Linked DNA regions of Oryza sativa Japonica Group. The protein of the gene in region 1 interacts with the protein of each later gene in a pairwise test. Links are inferred from orthologs where the notes say so. Each region holds a gene or a part of one and is shown on either strand. Other genes may lie near its edges.

Evidence for each region.
Region 2: the proteins of transcription factor MTB1 (region 1) and protein TIFY 10a interact in binary tests that used the Arabidopsis thaliana proteins (3 or more experiments, as listed by UniProt). The link is inferred for Oryza sativa Japonica Group from reciprocal best matches to the Arabidopsis thaliana genes AT1G01260 and TIFY10B.
Region 3: the proteins of transcription factor MTB1 (region 1) and protein TIFY 9 interact in binary tests that used the Arabidopsis thaliana proteins (3 or more experiments, as listed by UniProt). The link is inferred for Oryza sativa Japonica Group from reciprocal best matches to the Arabidopsis thaliana genes AT1G01260 and JAZ10.

What each region holds. Positions count from the first base shown.
Region 1 is NC_089035.1:7,503,292-7,513,989, forward strand, and holds transcription factor MTB1, read right to left. Parts: upstream 6,170-10,698; 5' UTR 5,844-6,169; intron 5,142-5,843; 5' UTR 5,137-5,141; coding exon 3,283-5,136; 3' UTR 2,916-3,282; downstream 1-2,915.
Region 2 is NC_089037.1:16,849,561-16,860,258, forward strand, and holds protein TIFY 10a, read right to left. Parts: upstream 6,759-10,698; 5' UTR 6,533-6,758; coding exon 6,412-6,532; intron 6,130-6,411; coding exon 6,027-6,129; intron 5,378-6,026; coding exon 5,118-5,377; intron 5,014-5,117; coding exon 4,956-5,013; intron 4,856-4,955; coding exon 4,711-4,855; 3' UTR 4,348-4,710; downstream 1-4,347. Other genes in the region: uncharacterized protein, read left to right, coding at 948-2,431, 2,497-2,595, 2,695-2,782. UniProt on the Arabidopsis thaliana protein: Repressor of jasmonate responses. Jasmonoyl-isoleucine (JA-Ile) specifically promotes COI1-TIFY10B/JAZ2 interaction. Activated by MYC2, MYC3 and MYC4 transcription factors.
Region 3 is NC_089038.1:19,856,732-19,867,429, reverse strand, and holds protein TIFY 9, read right to left. Parts: upstream 7,197-10,698; 5' UTR 7,151-7,196; coding exon 7,030-7,150; intron 6,912-7,029; coding exon 6,721-6,911; intron 5,209-6,720; coding exon 5,121-5,208; intron 4,997-5,120; coding exon 4,942-4,996; intron 2,965-4,941; coding exon 2,853-2,964; 3' UTR 2,547-2,852; downstream 1-2,546. Other genes in the region: poly(A) polymerase I, read left to right, coding at 252-473. UniProt on the Arabidopsis thaliana protein: Repressor of jasmonate (JA) responses. Interacts with and suppresses RHD6 and RSL1 transcription factor activities to negatively regulate jasmonate-stimulated root hair development.

The DNA.
Region 1 (10,698 bases):
TGCAGCGTTGCAGGAGCGAATCGTGATTTGAGTTGTTTCTGAGAGAGCGGGGGAGGAGAGAATCTTCCAGAAACGAGGCGGGGGTTTAAGCTTGTTCACAAGTATTAAGAAAAGGTGCAAAAAGACCATACTACCCTCAATGATTATTCCTGTACTAAAACTCAGTGGTGGCGGTCTGTTTGCTGCCATCAAACTCACACGTGCATTTCAAACACATTGGCGCCAGAAAGCTGGTTAAACACAGTAAAAACCCACTCACACGCAAATTAAATTTTAAACTGGTAGGCGGCAAAAGCACATACGGCAATACAAACTAGTACTCTATTCTTTTCTTCTTTTTCACTGATAACTATGCTGAGGGGTAGAATCGATAGATTTCTGGTAAAAGTTGTACTAGGTTGTAACATTTGGGACAAATTTTGAATGCCAAAACTTGTTACATATTGGGACGGAGGGAGTAGCTACTAATAAGCTTCCGTGTGGCGTAAGCACCAAGCCACCAGAAGATGTTGTTTAGTCTAATAATCACTTAGTAGACTTAATCTAGTGATTAGTTTCATTAATACAGACTATATTAGAGGCAAAATGAACCTTCCAACCTTATCATATCTAACGAAAGAGTAAGAATGGTTGATGACTGATGGTGATAATACTAGTATTACATACTCCCCCGGCTCGTCCTTGCATATTAACTTAATTTGTTACTCCGTCTCTCATAATACACATTCTCGCTAACTTATTTTATAATATTCTATTAACGATCATAAAATTTACAAATTATTTTTTCTTTGCAAATATGTTGTTTGGTTTATTTCATGATGATGAATAAACCAAACGATTGGACCGTATATGTGAGGATATTAAACATATTATTTTCAATGTGATAGAGCTATATAGAAGTGTGGATAAATATGTGAATTTGAAACAAAATTGAGAATATTGCCAATATTGATCAATCGGGTTTTGTTTTACTAGAAGACAATCGTTTTACTAGAAGACAATCATGAGAGGAGGTAACCACACCTCAATGATTTGAAATTTGCTGAAATTGTTTCGATAGGGGAATACGGTATATTTGGTGGGAAAGGAGGCAAATGGTGAATGTTGAAATGATTCAAATGGCTACTAGATCAGCTATATCTATTATTACTCTTGCACTAAATTATAAAATGGCAAGCAAAAAACAGATACAAAACCACATGAAGGATGGCATAAACCACCTCCTACAGGAAGAAACTCTCAAGGTAAATGTAGATGCTTTGTTTTTGACATTCTTTCGAGTACAGAGGAGCCAGAGCATACGAGATGCGCAAGGAAATTTTGTAATTGGTTCTTTCAGGTACTTACCCCATGTTGTTGATGGGGAGATAAGCCTACGCCCTCAAGGAAGGAGAGGAAAAGAGAAGATTGAGAAAATACGTAAAACGAGGTGAGCCATTAGCATATGATTAATTAAGTATTAACTATTTTAAATTTTAAAAATGGATCAATATGATATTTTAAAACAACTTTCTTATAGAAATTTTTTGCAGAAAACACACTGTTTAGTACTCCCTCCGTCCCAATATGTAACAAGTTTTGGCATTCAAAATTTGTCCCAAATGTTACAACCTAGTACAACTTTTACCAGAAATCTACCAATTCTACCCCTCAGCATAGTTATCAGTGAAAGAGAAGAAAAGAATAGAGTACTAGTTTGTATTGCCGTATGTGCTTTTGCCGCCTACCAGTTTAAAATTTAATACTTGTCCACGAGCTTAAAACTTGTTACATACTGGGACGGAGGGAGTAATTTGAAAAGCATGCGCGTGGAAAACGAGTCACAATCTTCCCTATCTCTCCCTTGAAAGAACGCAGCCACACTTCCAAGTGGTGGAAACAATGCGGCTTTTCGTCAACAAATTTATATGAATGCAATATTTTGACGTGATTTTGCAAGTCTCTGTTGAGCGCTTCGCCGGGAAGCCAAATTTTTTGGCACATGTTCTATCTAAACATACATCTAATTTGATTTGAAGAGTTCTTGTATTGATGAGCCCCTTATTTTACTGAACGTTCTGTGTTTTCATATCAATAAAAGTGTGCAAAATGGCTTTCTAAAAACATGGTCCAGAGTTAAATTTAATAGGAGCATTACTCAATTATATCTGTTTCTTGTGCTATGTTACGTAGACAGTTTCTATTGATATCTCGCCCACGTTAAAAGGAAAAAAAACTCCCTCATTTATTGCATATACCGCTTTCCAAACTGATCAACAGTGTATTTAAAAAAGAGATAATCCATGAAATGCCATTGACAAGCGTCTAAGTCCTAGAAATGCCATTGACAAATGTGAGTTCCAAGAAATGCCATCGTACAAACGATTTTGTCCCAAAAATGCTATCGCCGTTAGGATTCCGTCCATTCCGTGCCGTTAAACACACTGTTCATCCTATAGAACTTAACGGCGTGAAATGAACGGAACCCTAACGGCGATAGCATTTTTGGGATAAAATCGTTTGTACGATGGCATTTCTTGGAACTCACACTTGTCGATGGTATTTCTGGGACTTAGACGCTTGTCAATGGCATTTTATGGATTATCTCTTTAAAAAAAACTATAAAACTACTTAAAAATCATGTTAATATATGTTTAAAATTTAAAATAATTAATACTTAATTAATAATGACTAATATCTCACCTCTTACGTGTCTTTTCAATTTTCTCGTTTTCATTCCTCTCACACACACTAAGAAAATAAGAACCGACAAAAACCTGATATGGAAATGGATGAGAGTCACCTCCCCAAAAGGTCACTAGATTGAAAGAACACAGATCACAGATGTGCCTACTGGCCCATGTAGCCCAGCTTCCCCGAGTAACATGCCGAAGTATAAACACCAACTCACTTGAGATACAAACAAAAACACAGAATTAGCAGAAAAGCAGGTGACTTCTTTCCCAACTCATGCATTTGACGAGATGTACTGTTTATGGTTCTGCCACAAGCAATAAACTAAGAACATGGTATTCTCCCCAATAAACAACAAAAAGAGAAAAACTACACCGACCACAAAAGCCTACCATACAACAATGGCAGTTTTAACTTGAGAGCTTTGTCTTCCCCTTGGATCGCTAAGTCAGAATCTGAGCTTTCTTTCTCTGCCTACAAACTTCTTCTATCAACAGCGCTGAAAGGTGGGTGGATGGGTGTCCGTCCAACCGACTGCTTGCTGCTTGTCTGCAACCAGCGAACGAAGTAAAGCTGCCTCTACCGGTGGCGCCCACTCCCCAACTGATTCTACCCTGAGTTCATCACGCGAGACATGGCGGCAATCACCTTCTCCCTCGTTTGCTGTTCGGCGCCAGGGCACTTGATGATGAAAGAATGCACGGCCGTGCCGTTGTTGCTTGTGATCTTCGACTCCCCTGCATGGACTTCTGCCTCTTCGAAAGCTTGGAAGATGGCCCTGACAGGGTGGCTTTCCATGGGGCTCATCACTCGGACTAGAACCTCATCCTGAACCACCTGAATGTCCACCTCAGGTCGAGGCGTCCGATCCCTCGGATCGATCATTCCAGACTCGATAAGCCTTTCTCGCTCTACCTCCATCTCTTTGAGCTTCTTCTGTAGGTCAGTGATGTATGTTATGGCGTCACCAAGGAGGGATGCCTTGTCCATTTTTGATATATTGGGTACAACGGCTCTCAGTGCATAGAATCGCTGGTTGAGCTTCTCCCTCCTCTGGCGCTCGGCCTCAACATGATTTAGTGGCTCTTCCCTCCCGTTTGCAGGCTTTCTTCCCCTCTTTCTAGGCCGCCGGTCTTCTAATGCAGGTGGCGGACCTTCGTCTTTACACAAGCCATCCACCTCTGCACCATCCCCATCAATACCAGCTGGTTTTTTAGTCAAAACACCAGGTTTGGAACTGGTCCCAGCACTGAAATCTATTTGCCTGGGAGCTTGAGGCTGCAACTGTTGCTGACTCACTAGTTGCTGTGGCTTTACTAGCTGATGTGATTTCTGGAGCTGTGGTAGTTTCTGAAGTGGTGGTGCTTTCTGAAGCTGAAACTGTGTTGCAGTAGAGCTGTCAACTCCTCCATTGTTGCGCGGTGTGGCTTCATTGCTCACAATCAATATACCGTTGCCAAACTTCTGCTGATGAGAATTCAGGCCCCGAGCCTGACTCCAAGTGAAATTCTGCAAACCTCTTTGGACATTGGGGAGCAATGAGCTCCCACCACCAGTCCTTTGTTCCCACGACCTTTCATCTGCCTCTGACACGCCAGTTCCTGGGCCTGCTGAAGGCCGGCCAAGGTTAAGGTCCTTCCCAAAAATCTTTGCCAAACCTGGTGACTTATCTGTAGGGCCACTCCCCTCGTGTCTCTGAACTCCAGCTTTATTGCCAATTGCCCCAGCAAACACAGATCTTATGGTCTGGAGAGTGTCAGAACTCTCCGCTACCTGTTGCATCGAACCCAGTTCAAGTACACCGGTCTCAAATGGAACTAGCACAATAGTTCTAAATCCTGCAGCATTTGCAAGGTATCCCCGGTAACAGTAATTGGCAGGAAATACGTTACGTTCAGTGTTGGGAATCCACAGGGGCACGCCTGCTGCAAATACTTGACCAGGGCCACCAGCACGGCGTGGAAATGCAAAGTACATAGATGCTAGAAAAAACATCTCTGTGTCTGTCACCTGATCAATGCCTGGGGCATAATCCTCCTCGTCAACACCTCCGAATGCTGAGTGCAATCGCTGCAGCACACGCTTGCGCATCCTCTGTTTGGCCTCGTCACTACCTGCAGAAGCAGCAGGTCCCATCTCACCATCATGAGGCTCACGGCAAGAGCCATCCCCCCATCCAAGGACAAGGTCACCGGACTTTGTGCGCGACAGCTGCCAGAATATGGCATAGTTCCAACCAGCACCAGGACGATCTGATTCGACAAGCTCCTGGAGTCTATTTTGCAAGTCCACTGGCAAAGATGCAGCAACAAGGCCCTCGGATATGGCACCACCTCCTTTTGTCAAGTAAGCAAAAGCATCCGTTCCAAGCACACTGGCGGTGAGCGCTCGGTCCTCGTCAGTCCATGTCCCACCAGTTCCGCCATTGGCACCATCCTCATCAGCCTCCATCTTCATCACCATAATACCTACTCAAGATAGTATATATATCAGGCCAAATATAGCACTAAAAATGCGTAATACTCACAAGAATTGACTGGCTGGACGCCACAAGCACAGTTTTAGACAAATACACAAGCAACAAAATATCATTTGGACTTATGAATAATCGGGTGCTGAACTCAGAATAACAGGAACAAAACTCTCAGTTATCATCCAGCTAAAAACACACTGTGATGAGTGATAAAAAAAATTCACTGCTCTTACGTCAGTACAGATTATATTCGCGGACACATAATCGCTAAATAACCCACTCAAATAACAGAAATCGTCCACAAAGTGTGCAACCAGAATTTATAACTAATCCTGACATTTCATATGGCACCATTTCAACGGATAAAAGACATGGAGGGAAAACACGATTGAATTCTATCCAAACCTGACCCAGCAAAAAGTGATACAACCAGTAATTTTCCTATCTTTTTCACGCTATAGGATACAGCCAAAACACCCGTGCCGATCGCGGCCAATCAGATTCCACCCTAAGCAAACCCTCCTCCCGCCTCAACCCGCCCAGCTCGTCAAACCCCAACCATCCCAAACCCCCATCCATTCCACTGTTTCCGCAACAGCGAGCAGCCACATCATCAACAACAACAACAACAACAAACTAGTACAGTATAGATACGGCAATTCTCACAGTGCAGCAAGGCAGCGGGGGAAAATCTCACCGTGCTGGGGCTCCCGCGCCCGAATCGGCGCCGCGGCCACGGAATCCAGGACGGGCGGGGTCTCCTCCGCGCCCCCCCAAGAAGAAAGAGGCGGGCCCCCCCACCCGCCGCTGGCTGAATCCGAGCACCCTCCCCCCCCCCCGGCGACGGCGACGCCCGGATCTCCCCCCACCCACACCCCACGCGAGCGCGAGGGTCCCCCGAATTCGCCGCGCGCGCAGGAGGCGGAGGCGGAGGCGGAGGCGGTGGTGGTGATGGTGGTGCCTCAGGTTTCTCTGGTTCGCGAGGGGATTTCGGGGGCGGAGGAGGAAGGCGACTTGTGATGTGGAGAGAGAGAAGAAGAGGGGGGGAGAGGTGTGAAAGGAGAACGAGGGTGCCTTTGCCTTTTCTACACCGGTGGGATTGGATCCCGAGCCGAGCCGAGCCGAGCCGGTCCGCGGCTCGTTAGGGGCGGGGGAGCCGGCTCGATCGCCGACCCATGGGCTCTTCTCGGCTTTGCGCGCTGGTGGTTTGTTCATACACAGTGTGGTTGCGTGCTCTACGAGCATTCAAGTCGAGTCGATGGAGAGTGGGAAGCATATGGGTTGATTTGTTAATCGGGTTAAGTTAAAATAGGGGATAATTGATTTATAATATGGTTATTATTATTATTATTAATGGATTCTTTATTCGCTTGTTAATAATTGAGGAGCTAGAAATGGTAACATTTATATCTCATGAGTTTCAACAAATTTAGTCTGTTGAATTTCAAAATCATGGGGCTGGTTCCCCTATTCCAACACACCATCATACTCCCATTGGCACTAGCATGTATAAGATATTTACGAACATTCCTAAAAGTAGCGATGTTGCAGATATAGGATATCGAGCCGCTTTGTGGCGTATGGGAGAGCCGGCTCGCTTCAAGCCATTGTTTATATTTGTTTGGGTCCGCATGTTTTCTTTCACCGATGGATATGGTATTTGTGATATTCATTCAGGCAGGGACATAAATGAATTAATGAGTAGAATTGACCACTGCAGATAATTTAGATGCAATTGGACCCTGCTGCAAAGTGTTGAATGAGCAAGCCAAACTAGTGTTTATTCCCCTTAATTGTAACCTCACGAGCTCCCTGAATTCACCAAGATCGAAGCATGCGCAGGGCTGAGGAGCTGGGGCTGAGGCTAAGGCGGCGTGTTGAGGAGATTTTGAGGAAGGGGAAGGGGAGGAGGAGACAACGCGTGATGTGTGAAGAGGGAAGGTGTGAGAGGAGGACGAAGAGGGTGCCTTGCTTTCTCTACCCCCGGTGGGACTGGAACCTGAGCCGATGGATCCGTGGCTCGTGGGGGTGGAGAAACTAGCTCAATTCAAGCCTTGGACTCTTGTCAGCTCAGGACAATTGGTTTGCTCATATAGTGGCCACGTGCTCTTTGATCATTCGAGGAGACGGAGGTTGAGGAGGGATTGGTCTATTTGTTAATCAGGTTAAGCCACAAGAGGAGATAAGTGATTTATAATGTAGTTTTTTTTACTAGAATGACTTTGGTTTATTAATATTTGTATCCTAATTAGATGGATTCTTCAATCTTATGTTAATATTGAAGGAGCTAGAAATTGTAAAATTTACTGGTGGGTAAATGACAATGTTTTAAATAAATTTAGTTTATGAAATTTCAAAACCAGGGGTTTTCGTATCCATGTCTACCTTCTTCAGTTCTTCCTCCCCTTAGGCACTAATGTGTATAAAAAGGTTGTATTTAAACTTCCCTATGTTTATAAGTGTTGATGGATGTAGGATACCTAATAACCCAAACCACTTCATAGAGCATAGAGGACCGGCTCGCTACAAGCCATAGCTTACCTCTTGCTTACTTTCACCAATGGAAGTAGAATTTGTGATATTTATTAAATTTCAAAACCATGGGGTCTTATGCCCTTCCCCACCCTCTTGCTCGGTTGGCACTAATGGATATAAGAAAGATTTTGTACTTCGTAAGATATTTTTGGACTTTCCCGGATATGGCAATGTGGCGGATATAGTATGCCTAAGCCATTCAATAGCGGTTTGGGGCTTTGGGGGAAGGGGGAAACTCGCTCCAAGCCATTTTGGTATACATTTGTTTGGGACATATTGCTTTCTTTTACCACGACGGATGTGGCATTCGTGACATTTATTTGGGCAGGGACAAAGATGAATTAACACATTAATAGGATTGAGCAATGCAAGTAATTTTAGCTATTAAGATTAAATCTGATTAAGATGCAATTGAATCATGGTTGTAAAGGTAGAATAAGCAAGCCAAACTAGAGTTTCTTCCCCCTCAATTGTAAACTTGGAGAGAAATGCATTTATAGGAACAACTCTAAACTCTCTTTTCAAATTGTGCTCTTTGTTTGCCCATTTGGCTGGCTAGCTAGCCAAAAAGATCCCTCTTCAATTCTCCATATTTTATGTGTGCTCCAACAAGCTCTCCATCTATAGTTTCCACTATGATAGTGGGACCCACATGTTAGTCTCTCTCGCATACTTCCCCTCTGCCTAGTTCTCCTCCATGCCATTTCTCGATCTACCCTCTCCAATGACTACTTCTAGCCTTCTATCACCAATGAGAAGACATCGTCTACATAGACAGCCTTGCAAAGGAGGAGACGGGGATGTAGAGCTTGGGATTTGGAGGACGTCATCGGCCCTATTGACCTCGCTCCGTCCTTCTTAACAACGGGTGGGAAACTATGAAAGAAGGCCACACTAGGAGGCTAGGAGAGGCATCGCCTTAAGTCGGTGGTGATAATGGACGATGACGGAAGATGACGATGTAGTAGTTTGGAGCAAGGCATACTTGGGCTAGGGGAGGGTGGGTAAGGTGGCACTAGGTGCCCGGGGGATGTGGCGCTTGAGTTAGCGATGATGATGGACTACAACAACGGTGGCGCTGGGACAAGGCGAGCTAGAGGAAGTGCGTGTGAGTCACGTCTTCTCGCAAAGGTGATAAAGGAGAGAGAAAGAGAGGATCAGCATGGGACCCATGAATGGCCATTGATTATGGCTGGCAATTTTGAACATCAAAGGGAGGCATTTGGCCAACTGGTTGGCAAGTATTTTGGAGGTTGATTTTTTGATATTTGCTAAAATTTAGCTTGGAGAGCCATCTAGTGAGTCTCTTAGTGTTGCTCTAAGGATTTAATCAAGGAACCTACAATAATTCTATAGTGTAATGAAATCTCAATACCTTGACGAATAAGATTTACACACGTTGGGGGTCTTGTGCTACACCTAAGATAAAAACTTGAATCAAGTATTTCCCCTCCACTAGCATGATCTCTGCTGAGTGGTTTGGATCTTGACACTTCACTGTATAAAGCATCGCTTGTCGACCCAGACTAACCATAATACTCCCTCTTGCCGCTTCCCCCTTCTTCCTTCATTGCCTCCCCTATTTCGTGCGATGCCTTCAAACTCCACCATATATACCGACGAGTCCTATCGGCTTCCTTCGTTACTGCCAATCCTCTCTCTAGCCCTCATACTTTTCATAGGAGACTAGCGACAATAAGATTGTTATGCCCTTGTTACACATGTTTAAGTCGTTTGTGCTCGTCACCTCAACCTCCCCTGCCTCTAGGGGGTGGTGGCGAGGGTTGCTAGTGAAGTTGGGCGTGGTACTATCATGGAACCAAATTTTGGTAACTCGACGAAGGTGAGAAGGGGCACAAATCTTCATGCACATGGAAGGTAACTGTTAATAGCAAGATTTTGTTCTTAAAAAACTATATGTGTATAGGAAACGAAAACATTAGTTGTGTTAGTGTCAAAGCCAAGACCCGGCCACTAGGGACGGTTACCTAGGCCGACCGACTCATGGTAAGAGGCAGAAATATGCGTCGTCAATATCAAACAATACCTAATATCACAAAAATAATCCACAACATATGTGTTCAAAATTCATCGGCACCTGTTCGACAAGTTTTAGATGAACTACCAAAATATTAATCTAGGAATTAGTAGCTTTATAATAAAACATCACATGTGACATGGCTGACGGTTGTGGTTAGAAAATTTTTTATAAAAAAAATACATTTGCCCTGTATGAAAAGCATATCTTCTAGTAGTAGCATAATGTGGTTGGTAGCGTACAAAAAATCTCATATGCTCATATACGCTTCTCTCTTACCTTCACGGCTTTGCTCCAGCCGACACTAAACTTCTAACTTTACATCTGTATACACATCACCAAACTACGGCTATATGCTCTTTCGGTTTCACTTAAAACAAATACACCTCCTTTTTCTTTCTTTTTTTTCCCTTTGCCTGATCACCGCAGAAGATCCTGGCCGCTACGCAAGTCGACCCCTCTCGTCTCCGCCTTCACGTGAACCCACACCGGCTCGGCTCAGCTCAGATCGGCTCCAGCCGTCAGCCGGGGAAGCCTCGGCTCTGGCCCCCCTCCTCCTCCGCGTGAGCGAGCACGTGCGCGGCGCGTGTCGCTGGGGGATCGGGAAGGCGACTCAGGGGGGGCTCGTGACGCCACGTGACCCGTGCGCCCCCGCCCGAGGAGGAGGAGCCCCCCGTTTGTGCTGCACCACGTCCCCGTCCACCCCCAGATCGCACGCGACGCTGACGTGAGGGGACCACGGTTAGGTGGGCCCCACCTCGCAGTCACGCGGAGGCGGGGTAGGGTCGCCGGGTGAGCTGGGGGGCCCATCGGGCGCGTGTGCGCGTGGCGTGACGAGGTGGTGGGAAACGTGAACTCTATTTAAGGAAAAACGTGACACGTTTTCAGGGCACCCCCCTATCCCCGGCGCTAATGCTAATGACTCTGCCCTTCCCTCACTCGTGCCGTGTCCGCCACGGGAGGCTGACGTGTGGGGCCA
Region 2 (10,698 bases), on another chromosome or scaffold:
GATTGGTTGGATAAGGGTAATCAGCACGGGGTTGTCAATATTCATGCCATTGTCAATGATTTTGGTGGTCCATTGCAAGTTGAACCTTCACCAACTAAAAGAAGGTGCCACCCATCTGTGAGGTATTCTATTCCATGTACTCCACCACTATTTACTGACCTATTGGTTGATGCTACGCCACTAACACTGCCTGAGAGTTACAACCATCTTGAGAACTCCATCCAACCAGTACCATCCACCCAAAATGAGAGCACCACCCATCCGGAGAGCACTTCACATCCTGATGATGAAGCCACATCCCCTATTAAAAAGAGTGCAAAGAAGGTTGTAAAAAAGTGTGCAAAGAGGAGGAGCCAAGCCGATGACGATGATGAAGAGGTTCGGGATGATGAGAAGGAAGAGAACGAAGAGGAGGAGCCCCAGCTATGCCCAAATTGTGACCCACTAGAGGTTGATAGTGAAAGCAGCTATGATAGTGATGCAGCAGCCTCCTCTGACTCTGAATATGATTGTGATGATCTTGATGACCAAATACATGATGACGATGACAATGACTCTGACCTTGAGCATGTGTTTGCATATGATTTTGATAACCCATGTATTGATGAAGGAGAGGTGTTCGCAGATACTACTACTTGCAAGGAAGCTGTTACACACCATGCTATAATCTATGACTATTCTTTTGAAACTGAGAAAAAGGACAAGCATAGATTCAGAGCTTTTTGCAAGAAAAAAGAGCAGGGTTGTAAATGGAGGTTTCATGCCTCTACAAGTAAGAAATACTATGGCTGCAAGGTAAATTTGTGCTGAAATGTTCAGTTAATTATTTTATCATTTCATGGTTAAATTTGATGCATAAAAAGCTGATAATTACATTGTTATATGTGCAGGTCAAGGTAAATAGGCCTGCCCACAATTGTTGTTCCATAAATAAGACTGGGGCTGCCATGGCAACAAATAGCTGGGTTGCTGAAAGAGTTATAGATTGGCTGAAGGAGACTCCAACTCTAGGAGCTAGTGCATTGAAGGTCAAGCTAGAGAAGAAGTACAAATTTACAATAGGATATGACAAAGTTTTTAGAGGCAAAGAGAAGGCCCTTGAGAAGATATTTGGGAAGTGGGAAGACAGCTTTGCATTGCTGCCCACTTTTAGAGAGGAGCTTTTGAAGGCACAACCTGGAAGTATTGTCGATATTGATACCGAGATTCATGAAGACCAAGTATGCTTCAGGCGGCTGTTCATAGCTCTGAAACCTTGCATTGATGGCTTCCTACAAGGTTGTAGGCCATATATTGCAATGGACTCAACACACTTGACAGGGAAGCATAGAGGACAGCTGGCAGCTGCTGTTGCAATAGATGGAAACAACTGGCTTTTTCCTGTTGCATTTGGTGTGATAGAAGCTGAGACAACGGAGAGTTGGACATGGTTCGTGCAGAACTTGAAGAATGCTATTGGTAATCCTCCTGGGCTAGCCATCAGCACAGATGCTGGGAAAGGACTAGAGAGAGCTGTTAGTGATGTCTATCCAACTGCTGAGCACCGAGAGTGCATGCGACACCTGTGGAAGAACTTCAAGAAGCAGTACCATGGACCACTTTTTGGTGAAAACATGTGGCCTGCTGCTAAGTGCTACACCAGCCAGCAGTACAACTATCACATGAACAAGATTGCTGAGAAATCTCCTGAAGCTATTGCATATTTAAAAACCAATCACCCATTTTTTTGGAGTAGGAGCAAATTCTCAGAGCTTTCAAAGGTGGACTACATCAACAACAATCTTTCTGAGTCATTCAACAATTGGGTGATGAAGATCAAGGAATTACACATAGTGGACTTATTTGACACACTTAGGCAAATGATAATTGACAAATTTCACTTGAGGAGCCAACTTGCAAGCAAAATGGAAGGAAGAATAATTCCATCTATTATTAAGACACTGAATGAACAGAGCAAGAATCTAAAAGATTACAATGTGGTAAGGAGTAATTGCGATGATTTAGCTGAAGTTTCTGTGGTGTCCAATAAGGGAGTGGTATGGAGGCATGCAGTGAACCTAAAGGCTCATACATGCTCTTGTAGAGCCTGGCAAGTAAGTGGGAAACCTTGTAACCATGCATTGGCATTCATAGGCTCTCTAAGGTTTCCTGACATGAATGGCTATGTGGATGAGTGCTATTCAGTGCAAAGATTGAGGCAAACATATGCTGGGATATGGAACCCAATGACATCAAAGAATATGTGGACATTTGTAGATCCTGGTTTCAAATTGATGAGGCCAAAGTTGAGGAGAAAGCCTGGAAGGCCTAGGACACACAGGATTAAAGCTTCAGATGAGTCTGGCTGTAGAAAGAAGAGGACATGCCCTGAATGTGGTGACAAAGGCCACTTTGCAAAGACATGTCAGGGAGGACCTATAGCTAGCAAAAGGTACTTGTCATCTTTTTTTTTTCCTTTCATTTGTAAATTGGCTGCTCACTCCAGATTTTATACAGGAAAAGGTCATCTTCATCAACACCATCCTCAGATCAAGGAAGCAATACTCCTGGTGCAACACCTAGGTCAAACAAAAAAAATACTACTGGATCATCCATGTAATTAGTATTTCTTACTAGTTAATTCCATCCTCATTTGCAATCTATTTGCATCTTGTATTCAGATTTAGGTACTGACTTATAGAATTGTTGTTGCAGTGGCAATGCAAATGATGTGTCAACAAGACCACCAAGAGCAAGAGGGAAGGGGAAGGAGAAGAAAGGTTCTGTTGCGGCATCCATTTGATGCGGTTGTCTTTTGGGAAGGTTCTAATGGTCTGGACCATGTTGTCCTATCAAATTGATATGATGTAGAACACTACTATCAGATGTAGTTGTCTTTTGGATGTGAGGATGAATCATATGATGTAAACCTCTAACTGTGTTGGTTGAATTAGTCAGATGTAGTTGTCTTTTGGATGTGAGGATGAATCATATGATGTGAACCTCAACTATTGTCATTTAGTTTGATTATGTTACCGTGTTCATGCCAGAATGACGCTAGTTGACTATGTTCTCTTGCTTGTTGTCTCAAATGGTGTTTTATTGATGCCAAAATGCTGTCAATATTACAATTTCATGGGCAGGGGCATTCTTGTCCTAATTTTCATGAAAACCAGCCATATAACGGTGTTAGTCTAAGCTGTGAGTCCAGTGGCAGTTATGTTGGGTTCAAACTGTTTTTAATGGCAAATTTGCAATTACAGTTTTTTTAGTGGTAGATCCACAATACCTGTTCAATCCAGTGGCAAATATGCAATTGACCCATGAATTATCATAGGCTGGCATGGCAATTGGCAGAGTGGTCATGCACGTTACGCGAAATGAATAAAGTTGCTGGAAGTGGGCACGAGCAAATGGGCTCGCATTATATTGGATGACAAACTGCTTTCCTGCCGGCCACCATGCATCTGTAGACCGATTTTAGTTTCAAAATTTTTCTTCAAACTTTCAACTTTTTCATCACATCAAGACTTTCCTACACATACAAACTTTTAACTTTTCCGTCAGATCGTTCCAATTTCAACCAAACTTTTTAATTTTGGCGTTAACTAAACACACCCGTAGTCTCAGGCAACCGTAGTCTCAGGCAAGAGCCATGTTAAAATACTACTATTCTTCATTTCCGAACGTGAGCTTTACTCTAATGTACGTGGATCGTCCACTGTTTGTCCGGCAGAACCCGGTTTGGTCCCGGTTTTAAAATGCGCAGAACATGCAGTTTTTCTTCAATGTCACCAAAATGATTTTATTTTTTTTTCTCTTTTCCCTTGGAGAAAAAAAAATGGAGAGTCATTTCATCCCAAAAAAATAATTTTTAAAAAATTCCGACCATGGGCTGCTGCTGAATGTAGCCGGAGAGCGACGTGCGCATTTTTGCGTGTTCCCCGGACGCCCTGCCGTTGCCGCGTTATACATCACTTTCTTCTCCTTTTCTTTTATCTTTATCTTTATCTTTTTTTTTTCTCTATTCATTTGTGCAAGTGGCAGATGCTGCCTCTGAGTCAAAACACGTTTTCTTCCTGTGTTGGACGGAGTATGCACAAGTGTGTGTGTGTGCGTGCCTCGTCTCCATCAAGTTTTCAGGTCGTGCAAGAGCCAAGAGCCACAATTCTCTCTCTCTCTCTCTCTCTCTCTCTCTCTGAGCTGTCTGTCTTCTAACCTCTGAGGCCAAGCAAAGGCTTGCAAATCATGGTACACTAGTACTACTCAGCATGTCCAAATAACATTCTAGTTTCTGAATAGAGCTTCAAAATTCATACAAGAATGCATGTTGGAAACAGCAAAAGGAGATGCATCCTGTTAATGGGGGGGGGGGGGGGAAACAGGCGTAAGTGAATAACAATCAATCTTGTGATGTGTATATATTAGCAGTACATTTGCTTTGCTTCTACATGGCAATGCCAAAGCAAAACGATATTGAATTGGTACAAATGAGGTTTCTTGGGTTGTACTGATTACAGAATCTTCTGCTTTCTATCATAGCAATTTGATTCAGATTACTGGTCATAATCATCAGCTACTTTCTTTACATTCAATCCTAGTATATATATCAGAAGAACATCGCCTTGTCATCGGATCATCTCCTAACACAAAACACCCAATTCAAGAGTTGTGATAACCTCTATGACTGAATCATCTGATGAGAGGGGCATCTCAGAATTGAGCATTGATTCATTGGCTCGATTCCTGCCGCAAGCTCAGGTCGGGAGCGGCAACCTGAGGTCCTAACCCAAGCCATGGCTGACTCTCCTGCAGCTCCTTCTTGACCGGAGAAGCATCTGAAGGGGAACCCTGGTAGGGTGCTTTAGCCTGAAGGCTGAAATAAAGGAGCAGCAAAAGTTAGATCCAAAATCTAGAATTGTGAATTGTAGAATTTGACTATACTTTGTGCTGCCATGATAGCAAGCATAACCTACCGATCCTTTCTTTTCTCGAGGAACCGGTGAAGCGACGCCTTCCTAGCCTGAGGCAGATCTGCAGGATTTGAAGAACAGTTAGTACAATAAAATGGATTCACATGCTACAAGTATATTCCATCATTCAGAGCAAGCAATAACAGCCGAGGTTAGAGTAGTTACCAGCAGCATTTGGACGAACAGGTTTCGGGGCATTGGCCTGAGCAACAGGAAGTGCACTTGCTGGGGCTGGTACAGCAGACACCTTAGTGTTGTCGGCAACGGTTGCAGTAGCGGAAGATGGAAGAAGGACACAGTTCTGCGCTGTGGAGGAACTCTTGCTGGCCATCTGCATCAGGTCCTTGGCCTTCTCAGCTGGGAAGTCATCAAACACCAGGACCTTCCCACCGTAGAAGATGGTTAATTGGCGCTTCTCTTGCTCCCTGACAACGGAAATACAAGAAAGCTTAGACAAACACAACCATTTAACCAATTTTAAAGCTTACACAACAGAAACTATTTACTAACTGATATCGGTCAGCAAGCACCCGCCATCTACGCATATGTTCAGAAGAATAACTTGTAGTAAGTACCAACTAATATTTGGGTTTTTTGTTCATGAATCACTCGAGTCAGAACATTTTCACTTTCGGATCGTGCGAGCCCACTAAGTCTGAAACCCGTGGTTATTAGTTGCGAGACATACATCGTTGACTCGCACAAAAAACGACTCGCACAAAAAACAGAAGAAGGAACTGCAGACTTGCATAGCACCAGTTCTATATTGGATTAAATATCGAACCTTTCCATCACACCGAAATCCATCCCTAGAACTCTAAACTAAATTATATCCATTTTACACACGAATTAGATTTCAGACCATGACCCGAGAGCTGACCAGCTCAGCTCCTGGCAGCACTAAGATCTGGTCAGGACAAGGCAAGATGTTCTCCTCCTCCTCCACACTACCTACCAACCACTACTTTGTTTGGTTGGATTGTTGCTATTGGTTTCTCCTATCATGTGACTACAGCTAAAGGAACCGTATGAACTGATAGCTGAAGCAATTCGAACAAAGATTGTGTTGAGTACCTCGCATCCGGGGTCTCCTTCACGGCAGCAGCTTCAGAGCCGAACCCGGAATTCTGGGGGAACAGCTCCATGGTCTCCTTCCCCTTGTTCGCATCGGCTTCACCTGAAAAATGATATGACATAGTTTTTCAGCCCAGATTCACAACATCAGATTTAAAAAAAATGTTGCGAATTTTACAGCTAGCTAGATGCGCAGAATTGGAATGGTTGAGACTGGTTTAAGCCGAATAAAATTCTACATGGGGGAATTCTCGCTTCCAAAGCTCGAAGAACTAGACCAGATCTCACGGAAACCTTCCTAGGGGAGGTTTTTTTCACCCAAAACCCGTAAAGATAAAGATCCAGACTTTGCAGAAGGAAAAAAAGAAAAAGAAAGGGAGGTGACCTCTGATGCCGAGGCCGAGCTCGCCGGCGGCTGCGCCGTTCTGCCTGACGTAGCGGCTGAGCAGGCTGCAGGCCATGGCGAAGCTGCTGCTCCCCCTCTCCCCGGATTTCGCGGAAGCCATCTTCTTCTTCTTCTTCTGCCCACAAGCTGAATCCTTTTCTCCGAACGGAGTCACGGACCCCCGAAATCCTCCCGCTTCGATTCGATTCGATCGAGTCTTCTCCTCTGGTCGCGGTTGCGGGTTGCTCGTCCTTGTCTGTCTCTGAGTTGTCTTCCTCCTCCGTCCGGCGGTTCAGGTTCTATATAAGGGACGCACGAGACTAACAATAACAATAATGGTGGGGATTATCTTTAAGACGAAAAAGTTTCGATTTTTGTAATCGCAAGTTGCGAGGGAAAAAAAAAAGTTAGTTTGGGTGTTGGTGCCTTTGTTTGAGCACGTGATTGTTGTGGAGATTGGCAAGGTGCGCAGATTCCTATTCTCTCGTTATCTTTTTCCTGGTTTGTGTTTACTGTGTGCCGGTGTGGTATGCCGTGACGTTAGGTTTGATTGGATGCAACGTGGCCGACAAAGGAGTGGGGCCCTTCGTCCTAAAATGCATAACCTTCCGTACCAGAAAAAACCAATCCTACCTACCAATCTGGATATATATATGTGTTCAGGTTCGTAGCTATGAATTCGTTCTTTTGGATGGAGTAGTACTTCCTTCCTCATCTCAAGATACTGTCTCCATTCTAAAATATAAGAATATAAGACTCTATTATCATCTCATAGTTTAGATCATCCAAATAACTATAATGTATGCACCAATAGAATTAAAAGAGAATATATTCTATACCATTAAGTTTGTTCGAGTTCAACGATTTGCCATCGACATTATCTCTTTTTATAATATACCAGTAACTTTATCAATTCTTCTACAATATGTCATTGGGTTGGGCCTTCTTTTCAAATATATCCAAAATACCCTTACGAACATACAAGATTAACAATTGATTTATCTCATCTAAAGTTTTAAAAAAATATGAAAACTTTGTAGTGGCCTCCTTACACAATATGGAAGTTTGTATACAAGTTTGAAATTTTTTTATGGTATATTTAGATTTTAGAAAAAATATTTTTATGTGGTATATGATAGAGAATTTGCTTACGCAAGAGATAATATCATAAAAATATCTTATGCATTGTATGAAAGATGATTTATATTAAAACAACAATAAAAAGTATTTTATATAGCATATAATAGATAAGTTATATTTTTTAAAAAATAGAAATATAAAAACTCGAAACTTCTATACAAATTTCCATGTTATGCAAGGAGGTCACATAAAATTTTTTATATTTTTTAAACTCCTAATGAGATAAATCAATTGTTAATCTTATATGTCCATAAGAGGAATTTGGGTACTTTTGAAAAGAAGACATATCCCAATGGCGTATTGATGAACGATTGATAAAGTCGTTGGTATATAATATAAATCGACAATGTCGATGGTAAATCGTTGAACTCGAACAAACTCAATTGTATAGAATAGATTCTCTCTAGGATTAAAGATTTTGAGGATGGAGGATTTAAAAAAAAATCATAGTGCGAAAGATGTGCTAGTTAATGGCATGCATTCATGCATGCCTTATATTATGAAACATCTAAAAAATAGTTGTGCCTTATATTATGAAATGAATGGAATACTAGCACTTACTCTCTCCGACCCAATATAAGTGCAACCTAGTACATATATGGTATATCCTAATACTACGAATCTGAACAATTGTCTGCACAGATTCGTAATCCTAATATATGTCATATTTGTACTAGGTTGCACTCATATTAGGACGAAAGGGCTGTCTAAATTCGTATTATTAGAATATGTCATATACTAGATTGCACTTATATTAGGATGGAGGGAGTACAATTTAGGGAGGGGGAGGGGGGTGTTTGGTTACCAGCAACACTTTGCCATAGTTTGTTACGCCCAATGTTAGCCGGGCTGGACCATATTGGCAATTGTTTGGTTGTAGGCACAATTGTGTCAAGATTCTTTTCCAACAAATTGGACTCCACACGTCTTTGACTCAAAAAAGTGTGGCAAGATTCCCTTAGGCCTGCTAAGGTGTGGCCAAGAATTTGATCGTCTCAACTTAGGCAAGTGTGGTAATATGTGTTGACAAATGGCGGCAAAGTATAGCTAGAAACCAAAGACACCCTTAGACACATCATATCCTTATATTACGAATTTAAATAGATCCAAAGGGCTATATTATTGCATAATACTATGAATCTGGACAAAACTTTATCAAAATCTATATTATTATATAACTATATTTTAACACGGAAGAAATGGTATATAAGTAGTACTTGTTTGCTACTCTAGAGAGAGCATATGATTTGTATACATCACCGTCTTATAGAGACATACACGACGCAAAGCTATTTACATTAGTATCCTCAACGTCCCATGTGGACTCAGGCCAACTCAGATGTTTTTATGTTTAAGTCCCTAAGAATATTTCTTATTATCAAATATATTAAAAAAATTTATATTTCTGACCTATGACAACATAAAAAATATATATGTATCCTTGGCTTCCTATGGACCACGTTGTCAACCACTCTCATACTCTTTTTTCCTCTCTCTAAGCTCGTCATCCTCTCCTATCTACCACATTCCCTCCCTCCTCATCGTTGCTCCCTTCTCGTTGCCCTTTCCTCCCATGTCCTCCCTCTCCTCAGTGATAACACAAATCGAGGCGGCAAGCTGATGTTTTCATTGGTGGTGGAAGCTGCTGCTCCTAATCCCTTCTCCTTCCACCACTTTGGACAAGTCAACGAGGCTACGTCGGCAGTCAAGGGCACCCCTTCTTTCTCTACCACCGAGCTCCGGGATCGACGAGCGCCAGTCAAGGAGGCTCCCACCTTCTTTGGCTTCGGTGCTTCAAGCTCGCCATCCAAATCTCCACTTCGATCTCCCAGTCCTCATTGGTGCTTCAAGCTAGCCATCCTCATCACTGTGAACTCGCCATCACCACTTCCTCCTCCGCTCTGGTTGCTGCCCCCGTTGCCGTCTCCATCACATGCCATCGGATCTGGCCTTGAGGTTCTCAGATCTCGTCGGAGCAGTCCAAGCTTGACGCCAGCATTTCCCTCTTTATGTCAGCCACCAACTCCTTCTTTGCATCATTGTAATGGTGTCCTGGTGCCGAGTCATGTGCATGGCTGTGGGGATGGGTTCTCATTTCTCTTCGCGGTCCCTATGGTAGAGTGAGGCTACCGTGCCCTCTACAAGGTACGCGCACCGTTACGAAGGCATGGTTTCATCCTCGTTGTTGGCTCAACTCATATGTTCATACCCTTGCGAAGGAGTACCTTTTTTTCTATATATAAAAAAAGAATAATATTATGGGAGCTTGAGTACATTTTCTCTATGCGAATGACCTGCCTTATAAAACTTTTAAGGTATTTTAACCATATGGTTGCCGTTGTTTTTTAAAACCACTTGTAACCATAATACATCTATTGATGTTGTGCATAAAAGCATCACCAGCAGAGTGTCAAAATTCAATCCCCTAAATCTTTTTATGGGAATCTATCGATTTTTATGAACGACAATATAATTTATAGGGTGCTCTAAATCAAGGAGAGATGGTGGCACAGATGTTTATACTAGTTTAGGCTCTCAATGCAAGGTAATACCCTAGTCCAGTTGTATGTGGATTAGATCTGTGTCCGATGTGTGTGAAAGAAAGCGTAACCCCTTATGGTTCATGTCGGCGCCCCTTATATAGTGCTGGGGGGATTTGGCGGCATGTGTGATATGGTATCCCTTATAATCCGGGTGCATACCATTCATGTACAGATACGAGATAGGCTTCCTTGACTACTACCCCTTTCCATGTATTACAAATGATCCCATGGGCCTAGGGACACTAGTAGCGCCGCTGCGAGCTGCCCCCGCCATGGTCGGCCACTGAAAGAGACCCCTGGGCACGCCATGGCCACGACGACCTCCATCCTTGCACACTGCAGCCACGGCCAGATCCGTACCGCCGTCGGCTACCTTCCGACTTGTCGCCTCCTCGTCGCGCTGGCCTAGGCTCCTATGCAGAAGAGGGGTTGTCGACTCCCCGTCGCCGCGCCTCCTTGACTGCCGCCCTCCCCGACAGCCGCCGCTCTGCTGTCCTCACTGCCGCATCAGATCCAGCGCGCGGGACCTGGTTTTAAGCCCCGCCGCTGCCGTCCTAGGTCATTGCCTGGTTCTCAGTGGCTCCCTCTAGTGGCAGCAAGGCGA
Region 3 (10,698 bases), on another chromosome or scaffold:
GATGCATAAGATCCACTACTGTTTTTGTTTTGTTAGCCAGGCAACAATAATGTTGTTAAATTGTGACAAAAAAAAGTTCATCATTTCCTCATAAGAAATTACTGGTCCACCTTGATAGAACTTATTTTAGACAATAATATCAGTACGAGGGCTTTGAATGTCTATTTAGAACATTTCATATTTACAGTCACTGCAACAGTTTACATCATTTCCCTGTTTATTTCTGTTAAAGATAGCTCTCTTCCTTGTAGGTATTCATCCCACTACAAGCCTACCTAAAGGTTCTCAAATTAATTGAATGTGTTCAACATGGGAAAAAGGAGCATGGCTATGAACCGAAGAGAGATGGAAATATTGATTATCATGATCTATCTTATGGTACACCTGCAGAAGTAAGAAATGTCTTTACACTGGTCGTCTTCAACACATTATACCCCTCAAATACGGAGAATCAGCAGGATGTCAGCTCTTGAAGATGAAACTCTTGGCGTGATCATGAATAATTCAGGGGTTTGCAGTGGATATGCTGCAGCCTACAGGCTGCAGCTTAGACCAAACATCACAGGGATGGCCTACTGAAGTAGCTTCCACATCTTGAATGGCTTGAGCTCCTTTATGAAATCACGGCAGAACAGCAGGTCAAATTGCTGGATATGTTGCTCAGGGTATTATCTCATCTAGCATGATGGCTATGTCATCGGCCCAAGTGTACGGCATCAGTCCAGCTTGACAGAGCTTCAGGTTTTTTTTTTTTTGTGGCATACTTTCTTCTAAGGCTCTTTTTGGTTCCCTAGAATTTAAAGAAATGTGTTCCATTAACATTTCTACAAGCATTATAATCAATAGCAATTGCATTGTGAATTAAGGAAGACGAGCCTTATTTTCAAACTTTTCAAAATGCTACTAAATTATGAAAGTTCTTCAAACGCTTTTCAGCATTGGTTACCACCAATCGATGCCCTTGCATTCGATGACACTTTCTTCAAATATGCAACCAATTGGTGCTCATTAAAGTTGCCCAAAATCATCGTCACAATTACAACATTTACTGATATAGTAAAATCATTCTTAGAACACAGCATATCTGCATTGCCCCTTTTTTTCTTGTGGACTCTTGTTTCTCTGGAACGGTATTGCATGTGCAGTCTCCACTTATTTCAAGTTAATTTATCAATTTTTAACTTCTTTCACCAAACAAACCAATGATGCTTGTACACTCTACCTTCCACTTTTGATGGTTGCAATGGTTGGTGTTTATGGAAAACGAAAAGAACCGTGGAAACGTCTACGGCTCTGCAGATTGGTGAAGAACAAATCTAGTGCAATTGTGCAATATGGAAGGTTCACTACTCTAGTTCCTTGTCAATGCCTTTATGGTAACACCAATTCCATCATGCTTAATGTATGCTTAATAATCTATATGGTTAAAATTCATAACCATGCCTATTAATTTACAGGTGGTGAGCTGCATTCCAGACTCACCTTTTTTTTTCCCCATTTCAGTTCTCTCTTTTGCTCCCTTTTGACCCCTTTTTTTCTACTTTTGCAAGGCAGCTTGCCTCAAACCAAGACTCGTCCAACAAAACCAACCCAAGCAACCTGGATTAATTAGTGGATTTTTACCACGTTTTCAAATTTGATCGTGAGGCTGACTGCTCACGCGATAGTGATTAGTGAGCAAAAGGACGAGAAAAATTGCCCAACTTCTCCTAGCTGTGTTTTTGGTCGACTTGAAGATTTGTCCACAAGCTCTTTTTTTTCTTTTGGATGTTCTCTGCTCCAATCGTTTCACAATTTGACTGCATCAGCCACAGCAACAACCACACACACCCAAAAAAAGAAAAACGTGTTTGCAAATTTGTGAGGTTTAATTGGACGCTTGCAGTCAAAGGTTAGCTTGGAATACTTCTAATTGTAATGGTAAGGTTGAGGTCGACTACTTGAAGGATTATCGTAAGCATATTTCCTCAAACTCCAAAGTGGTATAATCTTTTTATAAAAACTTTCTTCATCAACATGTTTTTTTAAGTGAACTTCTTTTAAAAGTCGACTATCACCGTTTCTGTCCTCGAGTAATTGTTATAAACTCAACTTTTTATCCGTCATCCATCGGCACTATAGAACGGAGTTGAATTCATAGCCGTGATCCATAAGATTAGTGCACATTGTTTCACCTGATACTCCACGTTGTTACCAAACATCCTCTGATTATTTGTATTTCAAAAACATTTCGAAAATCTAATGTTGTATCTACCATTAATGAGAGTGGAGAGTCTGATATAATGACCATAAATTTTCCAGCCTTATTGTTTTGCTTATGCTTATCTAAGTCAAAATTTGAATTTTAAAATTTAATTTTAGAGTTAATTTGAATTTTAAATTTTAATTTTAGAGTTAATTTACTTTTGAATACTCATGAATTATTTTTATTTACTAATAAACCTTACAGATAAGCATATCATAAGCGAAATAATATGGGTGTTCGTTCCCAGCACATGTTCAGTCTAAAAAAACAAAATAACTCAGGCACATGGATGGAGTAATTTGTACAACTACATAGTATAAATCATAAATGCATCCAATATTCACTCTAAGCTTGCTTTACACATCCATAAAATCCATGACCTTGTAATCAACTATAGATACTACTATATATATAAATCAATATTACACACAGACCTACATATGGAGTATGGTTAATCTATCGATCGATCAACACTAAACAGGATTATTAACTGGCCCCTGCCTGGTCTGTACCCTCTACTAATGATGGAATCAATGAAATAATTATTAATAATAAACGATTAATCAAGGGGACCAAATCAACAGTAATTAGCTAGCTAGGAGGCTAGCTAGGACGCCGTGTGCTCCTCTTCCTTCGCAAGAAAAGACTTGGTGGTGGTCGACGTCGTCGCACCGACGGCAGCGGGCCCACCCACCTGGTACGGACCCAAGCTGGTCAACCTGCACGTTTCAATATCAATTAGTAATGAAAAAAAAGAAAAGAAAAAGGCAATGCAAAATATATATATATATTCGTTAGTTAAAGTGGGTAACAAAGTAGCTAGGTTTGGTGGTGATTATTGGAGTATTAACTAGGTCAACACCTAGCTACCCCAAAAGGATGGAAAGTGACACTGGCAACGTCGTTGAGCAGGATGGTAATTAGCCAACAATTTACTACACTACCCTACTACACCTGTTTGTTTGGCTAACTTCAATTTTTAAATTTTTAAATATATGATGATGTTAACTTTCGAATTGATCATGTGTCTTATTTGAAAAACTATCTAAGTATCACTTATTCGATCCCTTTTGGATCGATCATTTGTATTATTTAAAATGCTGTATAGGTATCATATTATTTTGTTGCGGCTTAATTTTGTTGTTGAAGATAATTTAAAGGCTACCTATTTTTCATCGTATTTACACTAATTTTTTTAATAAAAAGAATGGTTAAATGTTATGTTTAAAAGTTAATGGTTATATATATATATATATATATATATATATATATATATATATATATATATATATATATATATATATATATATATATATATATATATATATATATATATATATATATATATATATATATATATATATATATATATATATATATATATATATATATATATATATATATATATATTTGAAAGGAAGAGAAATCAGTGCCACATTTTTCAAGTCTGGGACAAACGAATTAGACCATGTTTAGATGGGACTAAAACTTTTAAGTTCCTATTACATCGGATATTTGGACACTAATTATAAATATTAAATGTAGACTATTAATAAAACCCATCTATAATCTTGGACTAATTCACGAGACGAATCTATTGAGCCTAATTAATCCATGATTAGTCTATGTGATGCTACCGTAAATATTTTCTAATTATGGATTAATTAGGCTTAAAAAACTTGTCTCGCAAATTAGCTTTCATTTATGTAATTAGTTTTATAAGTAGTCTATATTTAATACTTTAAATTAGTGTCTAGATATAGAGACTAAAGTTAAGTCCTGTATCCAAACACCACCTTAGCCAACACACAACCAGAACCAAACCGATCTTTTAAAGCACAATCAAATCAAAGCCTTAATGATATGTGCGTGTGGTGTGGTCAAAGACATATCTTTGCTTTCAGTTAGTTTATTGCTTCTTTAGCTGCGATAAGTCTTAATTTGATTCGGTAGCTAGTTGGTCAATGAAGTAGTACAGCCCCCATATATCGATTTCATTGCGATATATATATCATCACCAAATCGATCGAGATATTGCATATGCAAACTTGCTATCCTCCACACACATGTCGATATGATCCATAGCCCATAGACTTTCCATGCACTAATTCGTCACGACTAAAACGTGGTTGTAAGAGGTCGATGGGCACTGCTCATCCGGGCCCACACGGCTTCTGGGGTCTCCGGTCAGCTCACCATGTGGTAGCTTTAGCTACCATGAGCTTCCACAGTATACAACTATAGGTAGATAGCTAGTCTCACACTGAAGATTCCAATTAGAGAGAGAAATAATGAAAATGTTAATACTCTTTTATTTAAGTGTAATTGAGTTCTTTTTGAAAAGGTTTGATCAAATCATTATTTCTATGTACTTATACATACTCCTTTTCTTTTCAAATTAATTACTTCACATTCATTTTGTCCTAAGTCAAATATTTCTATTTTGTTCGTTGATATCTAAAAATTTGAATAATGCAAAAACATGTGATTATATATTGTGAAAGTTTTCTCATAGTGAATACAAAACATAAATCTTATGATGTTAAATTATATAAACTTCTGGAAATTGGTGGTAAAAAATACAAATGCTTAACTTATGATAAAACTAGAATAATAATTAATTTGAAACGCAGGGAGTAGGAAAAAATGTGTATTTAGGTGACAAACAAAATATATGAAAATTGCATTGTCTATACCTCTCTTTTCTCTTGGAGAGGAATCGTTGCAGAGATTTAGTTCTTGTGAGTGGCTCTGCAAACAAGAAGAGTTGAAGAACAATACTATAAGCCACAGGAAAAAAAACAGATTAAAAAAGAACATATTTTTGTTGTTCTGCTGATTACTTTTCGCAACAATTCTACTAACATTAACAAACCTTTGGCAAAATTGCCTACAATTGCATTGCCACGAGCGAGTCCTTTTGCTTTAGTTGCCTCGGTTGCCATCCTCATTATAGCCTCTGCCTAGGGATGGAATATGGAAAGGGAAAGCATTGAGAAGATTGTATCTCTATGAAATTGTACTATCTACCACTATCAAGCTAATTTAAGGGAGATAGTATATCATTGTGCGCATCCCTTCCAGCCATCATGCATGAAAAACAAGAACTCTTTTAATTTAGACTTGGTGCAGTTCGATCCTACACCATGATTTTGATTGTAAATTAATTCTATGTTAACGCTGTATGATTTTTAATGGACAGACTTTTCTTCTCCTAGGAAAGGTCATATCATCGTAGTTTTGTCTTTGGGTAATTAATCTATATTATCCCCCTTTATTTTGTTTTGCTATTAAGTCACATCACCTTAGTTTCATTTTTTTTGAATGTTTTAAATTGTTATAAACCATATCATCTTAATTGTTTATAATTTTTTATTGATCAATCAAAGATGAAAATTATATAAAGTAAATAATCATCCAGCTATCTTACATACTACTTCCATTTTTTAATATTTTTTAATATATGACGCCATTGAATTTTTACAAATATTTGACCATTCGTTTTATTCAAAATTTTTATGTAAATATAAAAAATATTTAAATCATGTTTAAAGAATATTTGATGATATATCAAATCAGAATAAAATAAATGATAATTACATAAATTTTTTTAATAAGATGAATGATCAATGAAAAGTCAACAGCATATCACATATAATAAAAAACAAAAGGGGTATTATTTATAATATTTTTATACATAATTCTCGCAGCAGTAACGCGCCGAGTTTCGTTAGTTTTGTAATCACACGCGTTCTGTGAAGGTGAAGGTACAAGTGTTCAACAGGTGCCCCGGTTCGCTGGCCGTTCTATCTCCGACGACAGTATTAATATAATATTACTGTGTTAACAACTAACTAATCGCGGATAATCTCCTAATAATTTGTGATTAATTAACTTAGACGATAAATATATATTAAGTAAATTGCATCGCCGGTACATGAACTTGTCAGGTGAGTGCAATCTAGTGCACGAACTTGTAAAATGCTCGTTTTGGTGCATAAACTTGTCTGGTGCGTGCGGAGGAAGGAAAAAGGACACTACCTGGTTAATCTTATTAATTTAGGGGCTCATTAGGATACCATGTAAACATATATACGTGAAGATTTGCTATTAGAAATACACCTCTTTAGTAAAAAATAGAATGGATATAGTGATTGTAGAAAAAAGATTAAAAAAAGCAATGATATAAGGGTTAGAAATATATGAAATTCATCACTTCCATGATGAAGAATAAAGTAGAGACGAAATTTATAAATATTGCATATCTTATATATACTCACTACACATATGCACGTCACATCCTAATCAACATCAGCTTTATAAAACGAACATTGCCAAGCTATTTTAGTCCTCGTTCGCACGAACTAGACAAGTTCATGCATCGAAATAAGCATTTTACAAGTTTATTCACTAAGTTGCATCCAGCTAACAAGTTTATATACTACCAATATAATTTACTCATGTATATTACACACCTTATCGTGGGAGACGTCGAAGACGGCGACTGAACCGTTGTAGAAGAGCGTCATCGGAGCGGCGGCGGCGGCGGCGCCGGGCATCTCCTCCGGCACCGGCGCCGTCGACGGCGGTGGCGGAGGTCCGGCGGCGGCGATGACGCGGCGCAGCAGGTGGGGCCCTATCCTCGCTATCGCGCTCGTCTCCATCCCTGCTCTCGCAACGCAAGCAATCGACTCAGATCGATCGAGAGGGACACGGAGCTAGCCGGCGGCGGTGAGATGAGATCATCGATCGACGGCGACGTCGACAGACGTCACGTCACGTACCTCGGATGGAGGAGGAAGAGGAGGCGGAGGAGCCGCCGCTCTTGGCGTGGCGGTCGTCGGCGTCGGCGGCGGCGGCGCGGAGGCCGAGGAAGTCGAGCTCGACGGGCGCCCTCGTCGACATGGCCGGAGAACGAGAGCTAGCTAGCTAGCTTAGCTAGAACACGTATAGATTAGAAGCAGCTGCAAAATGTGGTGTTTGTTGGGTTGGGAGGTGCGCGCGGGGTATAAAAAAAAGAGGCCCCGCGCCCATTCGTTTTTTCTAACCAATGAAAACGATGGATTAACCCGCACGTTTTTAGAAAGCTTACAAACGCTAATGTATTTTTATGATTAACTTGAAAAAAATATCAATACGTTGCAACAGGTAAATACATTTTTCTTAGTGGTATAACAACTCTATTATGAACTGAGCAATAGCTTGAAACATTATAATTGCTATACACTATAATTGAAAACATGTTAATCAAAATTTTTTCTTCGTTTTGAGCCGAAAGCTCATTACTTTTTTTTCCTTTTTAGCCCTAGCACAGTCTGATGTCTCCTATCTCTTCCTGCTCGGCTTGCCTCTCTTTCGTCCAGTCCACAAATACTTAGTTATCACAGCTGGCAATGTCATTCAGTATACCGTCTTGAACCTTCGGGAGAGAATCCTTGTGTGCCCTCCCATAAAAATCCAGCTGATTCTTTTTTGATCTCCCTGGCCAAGGGATTTTGATTCACTCGATCTCCTCTTTCTGTTTCCCAAAAACAGAGCAAATCTGTAAAACTCTGGATAAAAATGGAATGGGGAAGCTCGTCGGTCGGTCATTATTGGTGACAGTTAAACGAAGATTGAATCCAACGAATTAATTAAAACCGAATTGAAAGGGAAAATCATGGGGGAAACTATGAGGGAAGGATGGGGAATCAATTTTTGCAATTAATTAAAGGAGAAAACGTAAGGGGAGGTAGATCGATGTGATGGCGCAGTTAGGGTTCAGCCCAGGCGGCGGCTGGAGATTAGATCCGGTGAATTAAAGCCAAATTGTAAGGGAAAATCATAAGGAAATTAAAATAATAAGAAATGAGTAGGGATCTATTTTTACAATCAATAAGAGGACAAAAGGTACAAGAAGATAGATCGAGGCGGCGGCAGAAAAACTGCTGCGGGAAAAACTAGAAAAAAATAAAGAGGAGAAAAATACGGACAAAAAAGGATCAGAAAATAAAAACAGCAAGAAAAGAAAAAAAAAGATAGAAAAAACAGCCAAGAAAAGAGAAAAAAAGACGGACAAAAAAGTATTACCGGAAGCTTTATAGATTTTTTAATTAGGTATAGATAGATAAAAAATATAATATATTTATTCGTTTGTTTGCCCACTCAGTTTAATTATCATAAATCATTCGGTTATTTAGCCATTTAACAACAAATATTTTAGAGAATATATGTATAAGTTGTACAACAAGTTACAATAATAAAGAAAAGAATCGAAAAGGGATACAAGGCCTATGTCTTGTGGTATTGATTTGCGACCGACTATCAACCATTATGTGTGCTAGCTAGCCGCGGGTAGCTGAGGACCCCCGTGCAGCCTAGCTCTTATGCTCTATTAGTCCTCTTACGGAAATATAAATCCCTATGGAGGGATAGGAATACATGTCCTTCTAGAGAAACTTATGTTCTTTTTAGAGAAACTAATGGAGGGACTTATATTTCTGTGAAAGGCCCTCCCACCCAAACAGCTTAAACTGTCGTGCTCACCAGTCACCACTTTGGACAAAAGCATTATTAGTGATTGAAGACTCCTATATATTATTGTGTTCTTTAATTACAAATCGACCATGCTATCAAAACAATAATGGTGTCGATGCTTGTTGATTTAATTTCTACGGCCACACCTCCAAACTATTGAAAAACTCGTCGTAACCAGGAAATAAGGTTGCCCAATAGTGTTGAGGATCAATCACTAGAACTGAAGCGACTCAGGGAAGGCTATTAGGATTTGGTCAATTGATTCGTCCTGATGGCCATGTTGGTTGATTTTATCAATTCATTATTGGTTAGTTAGGAAAAGAATTAAATTCCATCGGTTTTATTTTCCTAACAAGAAATAAAGTAGAGATAAAATCTGTTATGTGTGATCGTACAAAATAGATTTAAATTTATTTGGAAATAAACCCCCGGACCCCACTAATGTCCTTATGTCTAGGAAGAGGAGAAGAGGCAAAGGCGACTTCACCGAATCCTCTCTACCCTAAAGCCCTAATTCAATCGCCCGATCAATTTTATCACTGGAAAGGATTCGTGATGTATGTCGCAAGAAGAAAAAGAAAAGAGAAGAAGAAGAAAAATAAAAGGATTAGATCATCGGCTTAAATGGCTTCACATCAAGGTCAATGAATCAATTTATTTCCGCATAAGAAATTAAGGTGATTATATTTAGATTAAGAAATTAAGATTAGATTGAGTAAATAAACTCTAACTTGTCGCTGGACATGCTGCGATCAGATATGGTAGCTCCCTTGCGTGCATGCAATCGACAATCAAGCATCATATGCATGGGTGGACAACCGAGGGTGACATCACACATATGCAGATATAGAAGTTGATGAAATTTTGGATACTTGTGACACGCTTTTCAAACTGCTAAACTGTGTGTTTCGTGCGAAAACTTTTCATATGGAAGTTGCTTTAAAATATTAGATTAATCTATTTTTTAAGTTTGTAATAATTAAAACTCAATTAATCACACGTTATTACCACATCATTTTACGTGAAACACTTATCTTTATCTTCATCATCTTCAGTAGGTTCAAATACCACTATCTCTAGCCCTACTCCTACGCTCAAATATCCATCGAGATTACTCTTCAAATTTTTTTTAGAGAAAAACAAAAACATATACTAGTTTACCTCTACTCTTATCCCTTCTTACTATAAAATTATAACCCACTAAGTGCAATTAAGATCCTAAAGCTCAAACCTCAATGTGTCACATCATCATTAATTCTCAGTTGTTGGATCAGTAGATTCGATCATCTTTGAACCGTTGGATGAAAAAAACACAGCCGAATCCATCTCACACCGTCACCACGGGAGGCCCATCTAATTTTATCGTGGACCAATTCAATAGTGATGGATTTTTGTACCACTTCAATTTACCAAATGCAGCCACCAATCTCAAGAAAATATCCCGCTACAATGCGCGGGGTTAGGGTTTCAGCTAGTATAAATTATGGCTTCGCCCCACTAATCGTGAGGTGAGATAAGGTCGGAACGTGAGAGCATGGATATATCGATCGGATGTGTATGCATGAGAGATCTCAGACAGCAGAGCCACGAGAAAACGACCCGATCGATGATACGCATGGTCGACCAACACAACTGGCACGTACGCTTTAATTTTCTCTCGTCTGCTGCTAGTCCAAACACACACTTTGTCTTCGCGTGCTAAAAATTGCATATGAGAGGGGATCGAGTAGGCAAAACTGGACAAGCAAAAGGTGATTCGGGTACCAACCACTTCTCATTGTACCAAAACCGTATATCATGTGTTTTCAGGGGAGGTTGGAGGTGGCCCATGCTGATCTCGCTCAGTTAAGAAGAAATATTAATTAATCCATTGAATATACTCCTACTATGTATCTCCTGTGTTAAATTATAAAGTATTTTAACTTTGATTAAAGTTA